4 linked regions of the Oryzias latipes genome follow. The protein of the gene in region 3 purifies or fractionates together with the protein of the main gene of each other region. This does not show direct contact. Links are inferred from orthologs where the notes say so. Each region holds a gene or a part of one and is shown on either strand. Other genes may lie near its edges. The genes, in order: polr2f, polr3b, polr3f and polr3gl.

What was found.
Region 1: the proteins of polr3f (region 3) and polr2f purify together in Homo sapiens (affinity purification with mass spectrometry; 4 studies listed by BioGRID and IntAct, with this or other methods). This does not show direct contact. The link is inferred for Oryzias latipes from reciprocal best matches to the Homo sapiens genes POLR3F and POLR2F.
Region 2: the proteins of polr3f (region 3) and polr3b fractionate together in Homo sapiens (co-fractionation; 4 studies listed by BioGRID and IntAct, with this or other methods). This does not show direct contact. The link is inferred for Oryzias latipes from reciprocal best matches to the Homo sapiens genes POLR3F and POLR3B.
Region 4: the proteins of polr3f (region 3) and polr3gl purify together in Homo sapiens (co-immunoprecipitation; 5 studies listed by BioGRID and IntAct, counting the BioPlex papers as one, with this or other methods). This does not show direct contact. The link is inferred for Oryzias latipes from reciprocal best matches to the Homo sapiens genes POLR3F and POLR3GL.

The regions. Positions count from the first base shown.
Region 1 is NC_019866.2:19,813,458-19,817,746, reverse strand, and holds polr2f (DNA-directed RNA polymerases I, II, and III subunit RPABC2), read right to left. Parts: upstream 2,823-4,289; 5' UTR 2,688-2,822; coding exon 2,668-2,687; intron 2,527-2,667; coding exon 2,457-2,526; intron 2,347-2,456; coding exon 2,216-2,346; intron 850-2,215; coding exon 778-849; intron 692-777; coding exon 601-691; 3' UTR 370-600; downstream 1-369. UniProt on the Homo sapiens protein: DNA-dependent RNA polymerase catalyzes the transcription of DNA into RNA using the four ribonucleoside triphosphates as substrates.
Region 2 is NC_019864.2:21,473,539-21,477,099, reverse strand, and holds part of polr3b (DNA-directed RNA polymerase III subunit RPC2), read right to left. Parts: intron 3,460-3,561; coding exon 3,368-3,459; intron 3,252-3,367; coding exon 3,134-3,251; intron 2,337-3,133; coding exon 2,228-2,336; intron 1,390-2,227; coding exon 1,267-1,389; intron 1-1,266. UniProt on the Homo sapiens protein: Catalytic core component of RNA polymerase III (Pol III), a DNA-dependent RNA polymerase which synthesizes small non-coding RNAs using the four ribonucleoside triphosphates as substrates.
Region 3 is NC_019859.2:414,588-418,728, reverse strand, and holds the start of polr3f (DNA-directed RNA polymerase III subunit RPC6), read left to right. Parts: upstream 1-1,291; 5' UTR 1,292-1,388; coding exon 1,389-1,450; intron 1,451-2,322; coding exon 2,323-2,440; intron 2,441-2,515; coding exon 2,516-2,583; intron 2,584-2,647; coding exon 2,648-2,715; intron 2,716-2,782; coding exon 2,783-2,895; intron 2,896-2,971; coding exon 2,972-3,115; intron 3,116-3,649; coding exon 3,650-3,757; intron 3,758-3,826; coding exon 3,827-4,018; intron 4,019-4,096; coding exon 4,097-4,141. UniProt on the Homo sapiens protein: DNA-dependent RNA polymerase catalyzes the transcription of DNA into RNA using the four ribonucleoside triphosphates as substrates.
Region 4 is NC_019874.2:32,576,032-32,580,176, forward strand, and holds the start of polr3gl (DNA-directed RNA polymerase III subunit RPC7-like), read right to left. Parts: upstream 2,862-4,145; 5' UTR 2,703-2,861; exon of another isoform or gene 2,667-2,702; intron 1,724-2,666; 5' UTR 1,681-1,723; coding exon 1,576-1,680; intron 1,325-1,575; exon of another isoform or gene 1,258-1,324; coding exon 1,128-1,257; intron 1,050-1,127; coding exon 981-1,049; intron 904-980; coding exon 847-903; intron 733-846; coding exon 644-732; intron 579-643; coding exon 444-578; intron 376-443; coding exon 289-375; 3' UTR 1-288. UniProt on the Homo sapiens protein: DNA-dependent RNA polymerase catalyzes the transcription of DNA into RNA using the four ribonucleoside triphosphates as substrates. Specific peripheric component of RNA polymerase III which synthesizes small RNAs, such as 5S rRNA and tRNAs.

The sequences.
Region 1 (4,289 bases), on a different chromosome or scaffold from region 3:
CAAGAACAAGCCCTTCTCCCCTGAGCACTGGTTTTTCCTCCAGCGCCGCGCGTCTCTCTGCCAGGGCAAACACTCCCTTTGAACAATGCCGACCTGTTGAGCTGCTTCATTCACATGGTTCCGTGGATAAACTCAGAGAGAGCCTCCGTCTGTTTTCTGACGGCTTCACCAAATCCACAAGGGCTGTAGCCTCAAGGAAAATAAAGACCCGCTGACATCAAAGCTGCATCAATCAAACACCACATGATTCTTGAAGTTTAATCAACTGATTTGGTTCTTTTTTTAAATGACCAAAACTGACCATTTTTTCCCTGACTATGACTCATGCTGACATTAAAACTTTAATAATAACAGTCAGAAACCGTGAAATTATCATAAAAAAAGACTTTATTTATAACAATAAAACAGATGATCTCTGATCAAAATCAACACTTGGAATACTTACAACAAAAGTTCAGTTTGTTAAAAAAATGTGTTTAAACAAAGTTATGTCTCCCCCTACTGGCTCATGCTTGCAAAGCAGGTTTTAAAATGACTGCATTTGCTGCTTCTGTTTGGTATCATCGAAGCTCTGAAGTTCAGCTGAAAGTCCAGGTTTGTTTAGTCGGTAATGATGAGCTCATCACAGCCCCAGTCCTCGTAGCTGCCGTCGGGGAGGTACCTGCGGATGATGATGGGGATCTTTCTGCTCCTGTTCAGAACAAACGGCAAACATTGAGTTACCAGGAACAAAACAAGATGAAAGAATTTAGACAGAAATGGAATAATCTGATGTACTTTAGTTCCTTCATGGCGATCTGCAAGGGGTCTGTTTCTCCCTCCAACTCGACCATCACAGGAGCGCACATGCTGTCGGCAGAACAACGACAAAATCCTCAAAATAAATCCCAAATTGAAGTAAAATGTCATTATTTTAAAGCCAGAAAACAGGCGGGGCAGAGGATTCATGGACTGTTCATTCACACACACACTTTTCAAACCAGTGTGTCCTTAAACGGCCCAAACACAAAAACACAGAGATGTCAACAACCAGGTTCAAACCCAGAACCTGCCTTCAAAGCTGCAAAACTGAGAAATGTAATTCAGTGTCATTTTGACAAAATGAGATGCAAAGATTTTTTTGTTTGTCCCTGAAACACGTGATCTGCAGCAACCAGTTGGGACCTCGTGATGGGCCCATAGCACAGCTGGGGGGCTTTTCTCTAGCTGGGCCAGGGCGTGCATTCTCCATGCTCCTGTGACTCCTTGCTCTTTGGTGCTGGGGACTATTTCGGCAGTCCCTCCTCTGGTATGGATGGCTGGTATCGGGTCACTGGGGTGGTGGATTCCCTCCTGGCTGTGGTGGTCCTGGCTGCCGCTACTGCCTCACCTCATTCTGGGGGGCTTGGTGTGGGACGACCAGGTGCTCCCCCCCTTTTTTTTATTCATTACGCTTCATACCATCATTGTCCACAGTAGAACACAGACAAAAAAACTAAGCACCAATGCCCACTCACCTTGGCTCAGAAAAGGACTTTTGTATGAGATTGTATCTGCTTTTATGCAAATGAAGGTGCATATTTATCTGATCTCTATCTGTGTTGTGTACATGACAATATGCAAGAGTGAAGGTTTTTGAGGGCAACAGGAATGTTTATAATATTCAGTGTGTGCGATAAACATAAACATCTAATTGTGAAAGTTATAAATAACCTCTAGCAACGTTTTGTCTCTTTTTGTTTGCAATGGTGTGTTTCTTTGGTGACTCTCCAACTTCTATATGTCCTTTTCTATCTTGTCCCCCCCATCCCTAATATCCCACTATCCTTCTCCGTTTTCTCCGGTCCAAAAAGGAATGGACACAAGTCCATCATTTTTCTAAAACCGGCCTATTGTAGATCAGGGTCTGAAGGAGCCTATCCTAGCTGTTTTGGGGCAAAGATGGGGTACATGCAGCATAGTTCAATAAGCACAAATATTAATAAAATAAAGTTAAGCCTCAATACAAAAAGGTTTGTAGTGACATAAACCTCCTCTGCCCAAAGCTTCAAAACTCCTATGGTAACATTACAATCTGTCCAACACCAGGGGCCTTCAGCTCTCATCTGTTTGATCAGCTGCTCCACACGACAAATTAGCAAAATAAAATAAGAAGAACAACAAAGCCACAAATGTTTGGAAGCCTAACTTATTGGTTTAGAAGAGTAAAGCGCTTATTTTACAGTAAACAACTCACGCTATTTGGAGGGCTCGTGTTCCCAGCACTCTCGCTCTCTCATATTTGGTCATGTGCGGTGTTGTAATCCTTTTCTGGTTAGCCTGCTGCCCCTCTCCTGCGGGGAGGATCTGTACGTTCTCCTGGTCCTCCTGATGATCATCCAAGGAAAACAAGCATCTGATTAGACTGCCAGATAGAAATCATGAATAATGAACCCCAAATATGATCCACTAAATGAAAAAAGTGCAGACGAACATACATCTTCCACGTTTTCCAGATCGTCTAATCCTTCGTCCTCATCGGCGTCCTCAAAGTCTCCATCATCAAAGCTGCAAATGTTGACAAAAACTGTATCAAAGACCGAAAACGGTGAAGTCGTAACCTAGCTTAGCTAACAGGCTACACGCTAAAATAGATTTAAAATTAACATATACCATGACATTATTTGATGAACATAGATCACAACTTACTTGTCTTCGTTATCAGACATGTTTTAACTTATATTTTTTCCAATATAGATACTAATAGAGTTTATTAGCAGCAAATTTAATTTAGAGGCTAAACCACATTGAGCGTTGTGGTCTCTAAACTTCCGGTGCGCGTGTACGCTGAAAAATTATGTCCGGCTTCTCAACTAGAATTTCTTTTTTTGTCCTACCTTTTTCTAATTCAATTTAAAAACAAGCAAACAAATAGTATATAAAAAGCTTACTTTCTATTATAGTCAAGTATCCTAAACAAAATAAACTTCAACTAGAAATAAATATAAATCCATCAAACTATGGAAAACCAAGGCTGTACCTTTAGAGAAAAAGAAGACACCAAAATGATAGTTTTCAACATTTATTTTAATGTACCCTTGAGAGAAAATGAATACTAATAATTCTTAATTTTTTGCCCTGCATTTATAGAAAACGAGTAACAATGGCATGTCACTTAGTGCAAAGTTAAAGAACAGAATTGGGTCAACCGAATGCGAAAAAACATTCAGAGCTAAGGCTGGATTCTGTTTTTTTTACTCTTCATCTAATATATTTTCCTACGTGATCAAATGAAAAGATATTCACAATAAACAACATAAAAATGTTTTTGCAAGTGCTTTCCTGTCTTATGTAAGAATACTCATTGCAAGAAGTAGTCTATTTAAGTGTACTACAAGTATACTTATAAATGTGAGGCAGTATACTTGACGTTTATTTTTTTAAAATATAATGTCAAGATAAAATCTAGATATTGTAAACTTAAAATTTCCAATTTCCAGTCTCAAGAAATATTCTGTTAGTATACTTCATCTCTACACTACATGAACATGGTCTTTAGTACAGCGTACTTGCTTTATACTTATATTCAAGCAAACTTAAAAAAATAAAAGCGTCAACTTTTTGCTAGGGTTAAGCTCAAACAGCTGGCACTTTGTCAAAGAACAGATCCATTTAGATTCTTCACTTATTTAATAAAATGTGTCTATACAAAAGAGATTTCTTTTAAAACAATTCTTCATTACCTATTTTATAAATATAGCAGTGGATGGGTAAGAATTTCTAAACACAAAAAGGAAGAAATGTTCACGTTTTTAACAACAAAATTAATCCTGTTTGTTGGTTACACATAAACTTTTTTTTTTCAAATATAGCCCAACTATGAAATATGCAATTGATTCTTTGTTAATTTAGTAAACAACAAGTTGCAATAATTTACAATAAAAGTGAACATTTGACAGGAGATTCTTGTCACAACCTTTTAAAAAAATGTCACTTGTAAAATTGCTCTCTTTCACAGTTTTCTATACATTTTCTGATGAACCCCTTTAACCAAATTACTAAAAAAAACTAAAAAGTAAATATAGCAAAAGATAGTGCAGGAATCTGCATGGCTGATTTTGTCTCAGAAGAAATCTGTAGGACAACAACTTTAAGCATTTTCTAGTGATGCAGGTTTGGAAAAATATTTTTCTTAAAACAGGGTTTTAAAAAAGTGGTAAAAAAATAACATCAGTAGGAATTGGTTTCTATTTCAAAGTACTCCGTTTTTCTCTTGCTGGACTTTGTAAACAATTTGAACAGAATGTGCCAAACAGACGAGAGCTCATACC
Region 2 (3,561 bases), on a different chromosome or scaffold from region 3:
GTCAGTCAAATGTTTAACATGTTCACAGTGAGGGCCAGTGGGCACCATGTGTTTGAGGCATCTGTTTGGCCGGTCTATAACTTGAATAACTTGCGATGAAAAAAAGAATATCATGGGGGGGAAAATAGAATTAACTAGAACATGTAAAAGATCAAGAATGCTTATTCTGACTAACAGAATGTCTGAGTAATAGCTGTTTTTTTCTCTATAGAAGTCTATGGGATTTTGGCTTCTACTTCCTGTTTGGAATGTAAGGGGGAGGGGTTACTCAGTCTGGTTCTCCTATACAGGCAATGGTCTGAATGAAATATAGTGCCCCTTGGTGGAGAGGGGGATTGGACATCACTGTGAGTAATCAGGAGATGTCCTCTCAGTGCCCTACCCGCCAATTTTAACTGCACCCCCTTAGAACACATCTGTCCAAGGTCCCACCCTACCCCATCCCTGGTAGGGGGTACCAGGTACCAGAGGGGCGGTTGTTCTCTATCTGCTGCCATGCGGGTGTTGGGGGGGTTCTGGCTGCCGCGGCTGCTGCGGCGGGGGTCTTGGTGTGGGGATGGCACTCTCCTTCCTTCTTTTTACATTCCATCATTCATTTTAGAAGAACATAAACACTCACTGGAGCACAGGTATTAGCTCACTTAGTTTGCGTGACTGAATTAAATATTTCACACTAGTTGGTTTGAATGCATAAGTATGCGTGTGTGAACATTATCTGTATTGTGTACATGTTGACATGTGAACATTATTTTGGAGCCAACAGGTGTGTTTATAACATTTGAGTGTGTGTGTGGACAGGCCCCGCCCTTATAGACCTGTATTACATGTGAACCTCACCGTAATGATTACAACCATCCAGAAACTTGTTGCTTTATGCTGCTTCATGGTCTCCCCCCGCTTCTATAATCACCCCCCCCCCCCCCCCCATAACATCCCTCTCTCTTCTTCCCTCCTTTCCTTTTTCCGTCTGGTCCAACACAAAAGATTTCAATGATTAAAATGGATAAAGTTTGGTCTCGATTACAAAAGAGGTTATTCAGACATACCTCTGGTTTGTCTAAAACCCCTATTGTTAAAGTAAAATAAATCCAACACAAGAGGCCTTCAGCTCTCATCCGTTTGCCCAGCAGGACAAATTAAAAAAATAAATAAAAATAAAAATAGTGGAGCTCTGATGATGTTAGTGTTGTAGATCCAACGTGAGTCTGAGGTAACCTCAGGTTTGTGAGTCAGATTTTAGCCTCATCTGGTTCGGATCTGATGTACCTGAGTCTGCGTGAAGATCTGGGCTTTCTGACACTCCTCCAGGCTTGGGGCGAAGTTGGCCATGACGTGCTCCTCTGTGCCAATCATCTGCACAATCTCCTGGTCACTCTCTACACCCATACCCTAACCATGCAAACAGACAGCAGAGTGTGAGCAGGGAGACACAGATTGGTAGAATTTGGGTCACTACATAAAAATCTACGCAAATTTACACAGAGCAGAAGAGTGGACACACCCTGAGGAGCATGGAAGTCAAATGTGTTGACAAAGAGGGAGAAGTGAACTGCAGAAACTAAAGCGATCTGACATTTGCTTATGTAAATGTGAAGCTGTGGGAACTGATGGGTCTGCCCCACTGTGGATTCATGCTCGCAACCAAAGAGAAGGAGAGGTGAGAGAAAGTCACAGAAATGAAGCTGCAGATGTTTAACTCTGAGCAAAGAACGATGTGAGAAAGAAATCTGTTATACTACAACTTTTCTTCATTCTAGAGTGAGTCTTTCAATATTATGCATCTTTGTATTGCAAAGGACAAGAATATTCCGATGCTCTTCTGTCGTCCTCTATTTGGGTTATAGCTCCCCCTGCTGTGCATTAGGAGTCCCTAAACCAGGGGGCCTGCAACCTTGATACTAAAAGAGCCATTTGGTCCAGTTTCTTACTGACCAAAACCCCATGAGAGCTGCAGAGTTCCACCTCACCAAATAGAATATACTTTTTCTATTTGTGTGGCCATTTAGCTGGTAATTTATAAAAATGTAGCTTTGAAATATTTACAATAAGCAGCAAAAGAACACCTCGGCTTAAACACCTTAACATAAATGACAAAACTTAACTAACAAACCTATTGTTTTTTAATTTCTTTTTAAGTCAAAAATTCGCAATGGAGGGATAAAGAACCCCATGTGGCTCCGGAGCCTCAGGTGGTAGCCCCCAACCCTGAACAGTTTCTGAAAACTACCTTAAAGATGATGGCGATGGGAGCGTCCTCAGACAGCGTGTTATGCCTCAGGTAGAAGCGTCCTTGCTTCACAATTATATTAGTTCTACTTTTCTTTTCGTGAGTGGAGCTGTGAAATGAAAAAAAAAACAACACATTTTTCAAAGGGCTTGCATAGCATTTGCCTGAAATTATATCAAAACAAGGAAAAAAATTACTTATGTTTTTGCATTCAATAGATGAAAAAATTAAGGTAATTTTAGAGCCAATGTGGTTTGACGCATATTTGCATCAATCAGCATCAAGAGGTTAAGACCAGATCTGTCTGTCTGTCCTGCAGTTAAAACACTAAAACTGCCCTATACACTATTCTGCATTAACATTTAAAAACTGTATGTTCAACAAACCAAAGGGGAGTCAAATAAAGCAAACTGCCAAACCCTAAAGAATAAATGTTTTTTAAATTATTTATACCCAGATTTTATTCATTTAAAACGCACAAAAAAACATTGATCACGTGAAACGTGAAAACATGTATTGTTTGCCAGGCTACAGCAAAGTCAACTCTTTTCCACCATGAATGTTGATGTTCTTCAATCACAGGAAGTGATCATTACATTTAATAACAGAAAATATAAAATAAGGCTAGATCATTTGTCTTCAATATGAAGGAGTTTTGATGACTAAGATTGATTATGTACTCAGCCCAAGTTATTATTTGCCAGTCCTAAACTTTGACAAATGTCAGTTGAAAGGCATTAAAGGCTGCTTAATGTTTCTTTATTTCTCCATAGAACTTGTATTGGTTGCACAAAACTGAGAAAACGTTGAAGTTCAGGCTGTAAACGTCAAAATGTATCCACTTTTTTAAAACCCAAGCTAAAAATTGAGATTCCTTTAAGTCTGGTTGATGCCTAAAGGACGTACCTGGTAACTGAAGCTCCAACTGTCCCCTTCCTGTCTTGGTCCACGATGATCCGATTCTTCGACAGCTGCTCCTGGATCAGGATGACTTTCTCTTGACCTTTAACGATGAAGTAACCTCCTGTGAAAACAGAATAATGAACTGACGGGGTTGTGATGAACTGCTGTTGCTAGGTTATGCGCAGGTTATCAATTTGTAGGGTTTCAGGGGAGGGGGGGGGTGTTTTTGCAGAGAACCTGGGTCCAGAGGACACTCATTTAGTTTAGAAAACTCCATGGGCGTCTTCCCTGTGAGAACACAGTTGGAGCTTCGCAGCATGATCGGCATCCTGGCATAAAAAATAGAATAAGAAAAAGGCTAAAGCAGACTTTTTCATTGCGTGGCAACTTTCATTAAAGTTATGATCAAAAAAAGAAAAAGGAGGACAAAT
Region 3 (4,141 bases):
GTTTGGATGGTATGATTCAAATAAATTGGCTTAAGTCTTTTCTGCAAAATGGGAGAAATATTTGGTTTCATATTCCCTCAAACATCTTTTCTCATCTAGGGGGTATTGAGTTGCTTCTAAAATGTGATTTTGATTACAGAAAACTTCCTATTAAACTTTCTACTCATCATCAGCAGCTGTTACTGTATGGAAACTCCTCTACAAACATAACTGTAGTTCACACAATACTCCATATGGAACTGTTGGGATATTTTATGTAGGAACAAATCAATATTTTACAAACATTGGATTGATGACAGTATTTGGTCATTAATACATATTATGAATGACAATGGAAACATTATCTCATTTGAAACTTTTTCCAGTAAATTTAAATTAAATGATAGAAAATAATATAATAATGTGATCAAAGCCTCAGACTTTGGTCCAAATGTCCTCCAGTCTGGTTCATGATGATCAAGTTCAGCTTCCCTCTCTGTTGTTTGATGGTCGACCGGTTAATTCAAAACTTCCAAACTCATTTATACGATCTTTATTTGTTAGAGCCGTCCTGTTTCCAACATTAGACATAAATCATTCTATGTCACAGCTTTACACAAGAGAGGAAATAAGCAAGTTGAGGTCTCAGTTCATTAAATATCCAATTTTCCCAAAATACAAAGAAATCCATTTTAAAATAATGAATGCAGTCTATCCATGCAAAGAACTGTTACACATACGTTTAGGTTTTCCAGAGAATAACTGTTCTTTTTGTGATATAAATATTGAAACACTTGATCATTTGTTTTTTGAATGTATGTATGTTTACAGTTTTTGGGAGGATTTCTTTTTTTGGTGCTCTTCAAAGTTTCCCTTTCCTATTTCTATTCACTTACAAAAGCACATTATATTATTTGGAGTAGTTTCTGGTGATAATCTATTTGATTTGACATTCAATACCTTATTAATATCTGGGAAATTTTTCATTCACAAGTGCAGATTTGTAAAAACGAAACCATTATTTAATACATTTCTTAAAGAAATCAGTTTATATTTTAAATCTCTGACATTGATGAAAAACAAAAATGCAATAAAACTGTGTGTTTTCATTGAAGATCACATGCTGTATGACAATCCCTAGTGTTGTAAACTATAATTCTATATATTTTGTTTTATTTATTTACTTATTTTCTTTTTCTCTCTTTTTTGTATGTTGTTATTATGTGTATGTTTAAAGTTCAAATAAACAAAATTAAAAAAAAACAAAAAAAAACGTGAACGGACATCACGTGCTCTGATGACGTCACACAGGACCGAGCCTCTCCCGCCGCTGGGGGGCGGTAACGCTCCGGTCTCCGTGGTTCCCCCAGAAGAAGAAGCGGCGTCACCGGCAGCAGCGGACCGGGGAGATGGCGGAGGTTCGGGTAAAGAAAGAGACGAACCTGGCGGAACCTGCAGAGGTGGAGACCAGGTTCGGACCTCACGATTCTGCCGCGTGCCGGTCCATGACCGAAGCGCGTGCATTTCATCTACGAGCAGCTCCTTGGCTTGTTTCATGCGCGCGTGTCTTAAGTTCAGAAACGGTTCTGGTTCCGGAGGCTACTCTAAACCGAACCTCAGCAGGCTTCTAAGACCGAAACCACTTTGTCTGGTTCCAGAGGTTCGAATCGGGAGACCGACTCAGCTCACGCTCAGGTGGTTTTAGAACCGAGTCCAGTTCTGAAGGTTTTAGATCTGAGTAAACCTCCGAAGACTTCAGAACCGAGTGCAGGTCTGAAGACATTAGACTCGAGTCACTCGGGTCTAATGTCTTCATAACTGGACTCGGACTCGAGTCCCGTGAGTTCAGGTCTAAAGACTAAAGGAACCGAGTCCATCCAGGTCTGAAGACTTCAGAACTGAGTCCCGGTATGAAGGTTTTAGATCCGAGTCCAGGTCTGAAGACTTTAGAACCGAGTTCAGTTCTGCAGACTTTAGAACCGAGTCCCGGTATGAAGGTTTTAGATCCGAGTCCTGGTTTGAAGGTCCAGGTCCGAGGACTATCGCTGCAGCTGTTGGATGTTCTGGATGTTGTTCAGAGAACACGCGGATGGGTCAGACGGATTCTAGAGTTCAGGCGGTCTTTGGACCATTTCTGAAGATCCAACGTGACGTTCTGAACGGACCAGAAACACTAGAACCTCCGTCTTGGAGAGGTCCATCTGAAGATGTTCCTTTTTGTTCCAACTGGAGATGAGACCCAAGCTGACACAGGGTTTATTATGGGATGTCTGATCTTTGGAGCGACTGGACCTTGTGGTTCTGATCCAGGAACTTCAGCTCTGAACGCCTGTGTGTCTCCAGGATCAGAGAGCTGTGTCAGCAGTTCCCTCAGGGAATCACAGACCAGGTGATCCAGAACGACATGCCTCACCTGGAGCCGCAGCAGAGGGCCCTGGCCATCAACAAGCTGCTGTCCCTGGTTAGTCCGGTTCTGAACAACCCAATCCATTCTTCAGCGCAGAGGGGTTCTAACGTAACCTGGTGTTTGTTCCAGGGCCAGCTGGACTTGCTCAGGAACAGTTCTGGTCTTCTGTACAGATTAAAAGATTCTCAGACAGCCAGGTGAGCAGCGTTCCATCTGCAGGTTCTGGTTCTGTCCACCGTGAACCCCAATCCTCTGTTTCAGTAAGATGAAGGGCTCGGACAACCAGGAGAAGCTGGTTTACCAGATCATCGAGGATGCCGGAAACAAAGGTGAGCTCTGTCTGCCTCCTTCCAGAAGGTACCGCGGGTCAGAACCTCCCAGATGTTCTGTTCGCAGGAATCTGGAGCAGAGACATCCGCTTCAAGAGCAACCTCCCTCTGACCGAGATCAACAAGATCCTGAAGAACCTGGAGAGCAAGAAGCTCATCAAAGCCGTCAAATCTGTGGCCGTGAGTTCAGAACCGAGCCGGTCCAGACGTGCTTGTGGCCGCCGGCAGTCCTGAACTCTGCTCGTCTGCCACGCAGGCGTCCAAGAAGAAGGTCTACATGCTGTACAACGTGCAGCCGGACCGCTCCGTCACCGGAGGGGCCTGGTACAGCGACCAGGACTTTGAGTCCGAGTTCGTGGAGGTTCTGAACCAGCAGTGCTTCAAGTTCCTGCAGAGCAAGGTATGGAGAACCCAAATGTACGGAACACCAAACCAATGGGTCACAAAGGTCAGAGGTCAGCTGTAGAGCTACGTTTACACCGGGAAACGCGTTCAAGGGACCGCTTTGAGTCCAAAGTCTACGGGAACGCGTCTACGCTTCCGCCTCCAAACTCTACAAAAAGCGCCGCCATTGAACGTGAAACCAGTTGAACTTTGACCAATCAGGGACTCTGAGTTGGTTGCGACGTATGATGGCGTCAAAGCAGAAGTACCAACGACTGAAACTTGATCAGAAAGGACAAAGTAATAACTGCGGTTTGTGTCGACGCCAAGTCTATGATGGATCAGAATCGAGCTGTGAACAAAAGACTCACCAGATTTGGACGTTTCCCACCGAGTCGTCCAACCGCAGGAGACGGCGCCGGGTAGCCACAGTCCAGAATGAACGCCGTAGGCGAGCAAAGGTTCTGTGGTCTTCAACGCGCATCACGTGTGTGAACGTAGCACCAGGCTGAGGGGCCCACCCCTCACCCCCACTCACCCCTGTGTGCAGGCGGAGGCGGCGCGGGGCGGCCAGCAGAGCCCCATGGTTCAGAGGAACAGCTCCTTCGCCACGTCTCACGAAGTCTGGAAGTACATCAGCGAGTTGGGCATCAGCAAGGTGGCCCCGCCGTGACCTCACAGCCCCTCCCAACAGCTGCAGCTGTTCTCACAGGTGTCCCGTGTGCAGGTGGACCTGTCCATGGACGACATCGAGACCATCCTGAACACGCTGATCTACGACGGGAAGGTGGAGATGACCGTGATCGCCGCCAAGGAGGGGACGGTGGGCAGCGTGGACGGACAGATGAAGCTGTACCGCGGCGTGAACGCCGTGCTGCCGCCGGCGGGCCTGGTGAAGACGCCCTGCGGCCTGTGCCCGGTAAGCCGCGCTCCGACGCCCCCTGCTGCCGCTCCGGCTGCGGCACTCACCCCCCCCCCCCCCCCAATCTCTCTGCAGGTGTTTGACGACTGTCACGAAGGGGGGGAGATCTCGCCATCCACC
Region 4 (4,145 bases), on a different chromosome or scaffold from region 3:
TTTAAACCACCATGTTGGTTTTGTGTTTGAAATGAAAAACTAAACTGAAGCTTTCAGGCTGACGTCACCTCCTGGAAGCAGAAGCTCCAGCGCCAACAGTAGGTGGGACGTCGGCCCCCCCTGGTGGTGAAGTATGGTACGGCCCGAAAGGATCAAACGTCAGACTGTTGGCTGCAGGTCGACACACGAGGTCACGTGACCGTCTGTTTATTGGAGCAGCAGGTGACACCAGGTTGGACTGCCTCTTCAGTCACACGCGTGCACGTGGCGTGCACGTGCAGCAGCTGCTCAGTAAATGGCCTCGTCCATGTTGTCGTCGCTGTCGCCGCCGAATTCCTCGCCGTTGTCGAAGTACGACATGATGTAGTCGGTTTCCTGCACAGAGGGTCCAGTTAGACCTGCAGAGCCTCCGTGGTTCTGACCCAGGCCTGCTGACCACGTACCTCCTCCAGTTCTTCCTCATCATACTCCTCCTCTGCCTCTGCTCCCTCCTCCTCCTCCGGCTTCTTCTTCACCCCTCCCTCCTCCTCCTCTGAGCTCTGCTCATGCTCCTCCTTCTTCTCCAGGGTCTGCAGACACTTCCATTAAAGCCATCATCATCATCATCATCATCATCATCAGAGGTTCTATAGAAACCCTTCACCTCCAGTTTGAGCAGCACCTCCTCTTCCTCCTTCTTCTTCTTCTTCTTCTGGACTGGCACAGAACTATCCATGGTGCTGAAGGCCAGACCTGAGGGAGACAGCAGCTGATGCTCACCCCCCTGAGTAATCTGATTACTGCTGATGAATACTGTTCAGACGAGTCAGTAAGGTACCCAGAGTACTGAGTAATGGGATTACTCGCCTTCTCTGACTCTCCTCCTGATGTGGACCTGCAGCTCTCTGGGGAATCGTCTCCAGTCTGAAATCCAGAGACGTGCAGACATGAAGGTTCTGATGGCGTTTTCATTGGATGTTACCGTGGTAACGGCGTCTCACCCAGGTTCCAGTCCGTGAGGCTGTTCGTCTGCTCGCTGCTGTGATATTTGTCCGAGTAGCGCTGAACATCTGCACAGGAAGAAAGCAGGACTTTCAAAATAAGACTGCGTGTGTGTGTGCGCGCGTGTGTGTGTGCACGTGTGTGACCTCGCTGTGCTGCTGCTGGCTTGATGAAGAATGGCAGATTCTTCATCACTCCTCTAAAATCCTGCTTCAGGGCCAATAGATACTCTGCTTCTTCTCCACCTGCCAGGGGGAGGGGCTTCTGCTCCATCACCTGGACACCAAATCCACCAACTTCAAATCCCAGAATTCAGTGCTTCAAAATCAGCGCATTACCCCAACTGTTGGTGTCAGAGCAGAAAAATGTCAGAGCTCCTCTTTCCTGCATCTGTTGTTTGTTACGGTTCACGTCGAGACGATAAATGTCTGCCTAACGTAGACGTCAGTGACATCCCATAATAACCCACAAGGTTCAGAATGACATGAACAGCTTTAACAAACAATGAAAACAACAACAGAGGGATTTCATTCAACCAAAAAGAATAACACTTAAATATAAATGAGGGGTTTTCCTGGTGTGGGCGGGGCTTACAGGAAACACAGGCGTGGGCTGCTGAAGTCCTGGGGGGAGACCTTCTCCCCTGCTGATGCTCGAGTCCGTGCCGAAAGGCCTACGGCCCCGCCCTCGTCCCGCCATGGCTGGTCCCCCTCAGACAAAACCGGACCGAGCCAGAACCGCCCTAAAGACACAACAGGACCCCACTGTAAATCAGGATACGTCCACGGGGTAAGCCCCGCCCCTGTCACACAGCCCAATGACCACTCCCCCTTTTCAGGTCAGAGGGAAGCGCATCAAGGCCTTTCAGGTGTGTTTGATCGTTTTCGGTTGTTCCTTCCATCCCCTCAGAACCTGATGTCATGTAGCGTCTGTTCCAGCAGGTGGCAGTATACAGGCATTTCCAGAGGAAAAAACGGGAATAAACCAGTGACTGCATGTGGGAACTGGACCGAGTGGCCCCGCCCCCTAGCGTTCCAAACAGGAAAATCCCGTAGACATCTACAAACGGCTGTTCCTCAGTCGTTCTATGGGTCAGAGGAACCGCTCTGGATCTGATTCTTTAGAACCTCTTCCTGATAATCCTCATTTTTCATTTCATTTCTGTAGTTCAAGGTATAAACTGACCAATCAGACGCCTCAATGAAAGTGGGTGGAGCCTGCTGACCCTAACCCCAAGTTTGACTGATTTCTGTAACCTGCTTTCAAGTGGGTGTGGCCTTTCAACAAGCTCACTCCTGGTTGGTCAGTGTGGTTGCTATAGAAACGATGACTCAGACCAACTCGGACCAATCACTGGCGGCGGCGTTAAAACGGCGACTGAATTCTGCATTGACTAGATATGGACTAGGAATCGGATCCGTCTCGACAGGGAACCATTCCAGCCCTGATGACGTATGTGATGATGTCACTGACGACACTGCAGCATGTGGGGCCTAAGAACCCACGTTTGAACCCCTGCTTCCTGATGACGTCACGCCTCTCTGGTCGCTGTGGTTCTGAGCTGCTTTCAGAGAAACGAGGAAAATGTTTTGGTTTTTGATTCAGGGGCTTCGGCTGACGTCATCAGCCTCATCGATCAGGCTGATCGTGAAGCTCCATCAGAACCCTGCGGGCTCCCTTCTGACCTGGGCTCGCGCTCGGTCGGGTATGACTCCTCTGACCTGTTCCCGCTTTTCCGTTACGGCTGCAGCTTAGTGCGCGCTCCCGCGGCGCGCTCCATGTTCGGTTCAGACTTTCACAAACTCCACCACGAACGGTTGTTTACCGTCCCCGGACCTCGCTTTACAGGCGCCCCGCCTACTACCCACCGGAAATGTCCTACGGCAGTTTGCGCGCGCTTGCATTCTGCGTTGGGCCGCGCGTTTCTGCCCCCTATCGGACAGGAGGACAGAAATCCAGCTACATTTATGGTCGATAGCAGTGGCGGTTCTACCCTGAATTACTCCCCGCGCGAGACCCCCCCGCCCCCCCCCCCATAGAGTCACTCTGTCCATGTCAACTGACATGTTTTATTGGAGCAGAAGTAGCAGCAGAACAGCAGCAGCAGAACAGCAGCAGCATGCTACCATCACAGCTCATTTAACATTTATGAACTAAGTTTACAACAGCCTTTGGCTGTGTGTGGGGCCATAACCATAACCATAACCATAACCATAGCTGGATCGCAGGCAGTGTTTGGCCGCTCATGCGACTCCTGTGGAGAGTCCTCCTGAGCTGGGGGGCAGGTGCCGCTGTTTCTTTTGTTTCCCATCGTTTGTTTGCATTTCTGCTCTATCCAACCCGCTGACCCCTTGGTGCACCGTTGTCCAGGAGCGGTGCCACGGCCGGGATTTCCGGGGATCGTGTGTGCTCTGTACACCGTTTCAGCGAGTGCCGTCCATCCACGCACTGGGGAGCGGCGTGATGAAGCCGGATCGAGAGCTATCGGAGCGGGTTCCCCCTTCCGGCCTTCTGTGGCCCCGGGCACAACCAGAGCCCAGTGTCCCACCACCCTGGACTGGCGTCGGTTACTGCCACTGTACGCAAGGGGCGTGGCATTGAGCCTGTTGTGCCGCAACAGAGCGCACGGCTGGGTGCAGCTGACTGTGTGGGCTGGGCATGATGGCCCTTGTGGTTTGGTTAACTCTTTTGGGTGTCTTTCAGAATAGGAATTTTAATACTATTTGTAATAAAGGGTGTCTATTTTCTTAAAAGCACAGTCTTGGTTTCCTGTCGGAGAGTCCTGTGCTCTTCATTTTAAGTCTTCTACTGGAGGCATCCAAGGGGAAACCATACTGCCACAGGAATCTTGGTGCTGTGAGCAGAAATTGACGTCAGCGCCAGTTTTGGCCTGTGCTGACTTCACACTACCCTTTATTCTGGAAGTAGATGCCAGCCACAATGGCCTTGGTGCAGTTTTGTCCCAGGAGCAGGGTGGCAGTGTGCGGCCATTGCCATGCCAGTAGGGGGCTAAAAGCTACAGAGCGTAACATGCAGAACTGCAGCTCTATGAAGCTGGAGTTCTTGGCTCTTAAATGGGCCATGATGATTATGAGATAAAGTATCGTTCTGGCAGAATGTGGACGCCCTGTCACGACATCCCAATCGTAGTTCAGCAGGGGTCG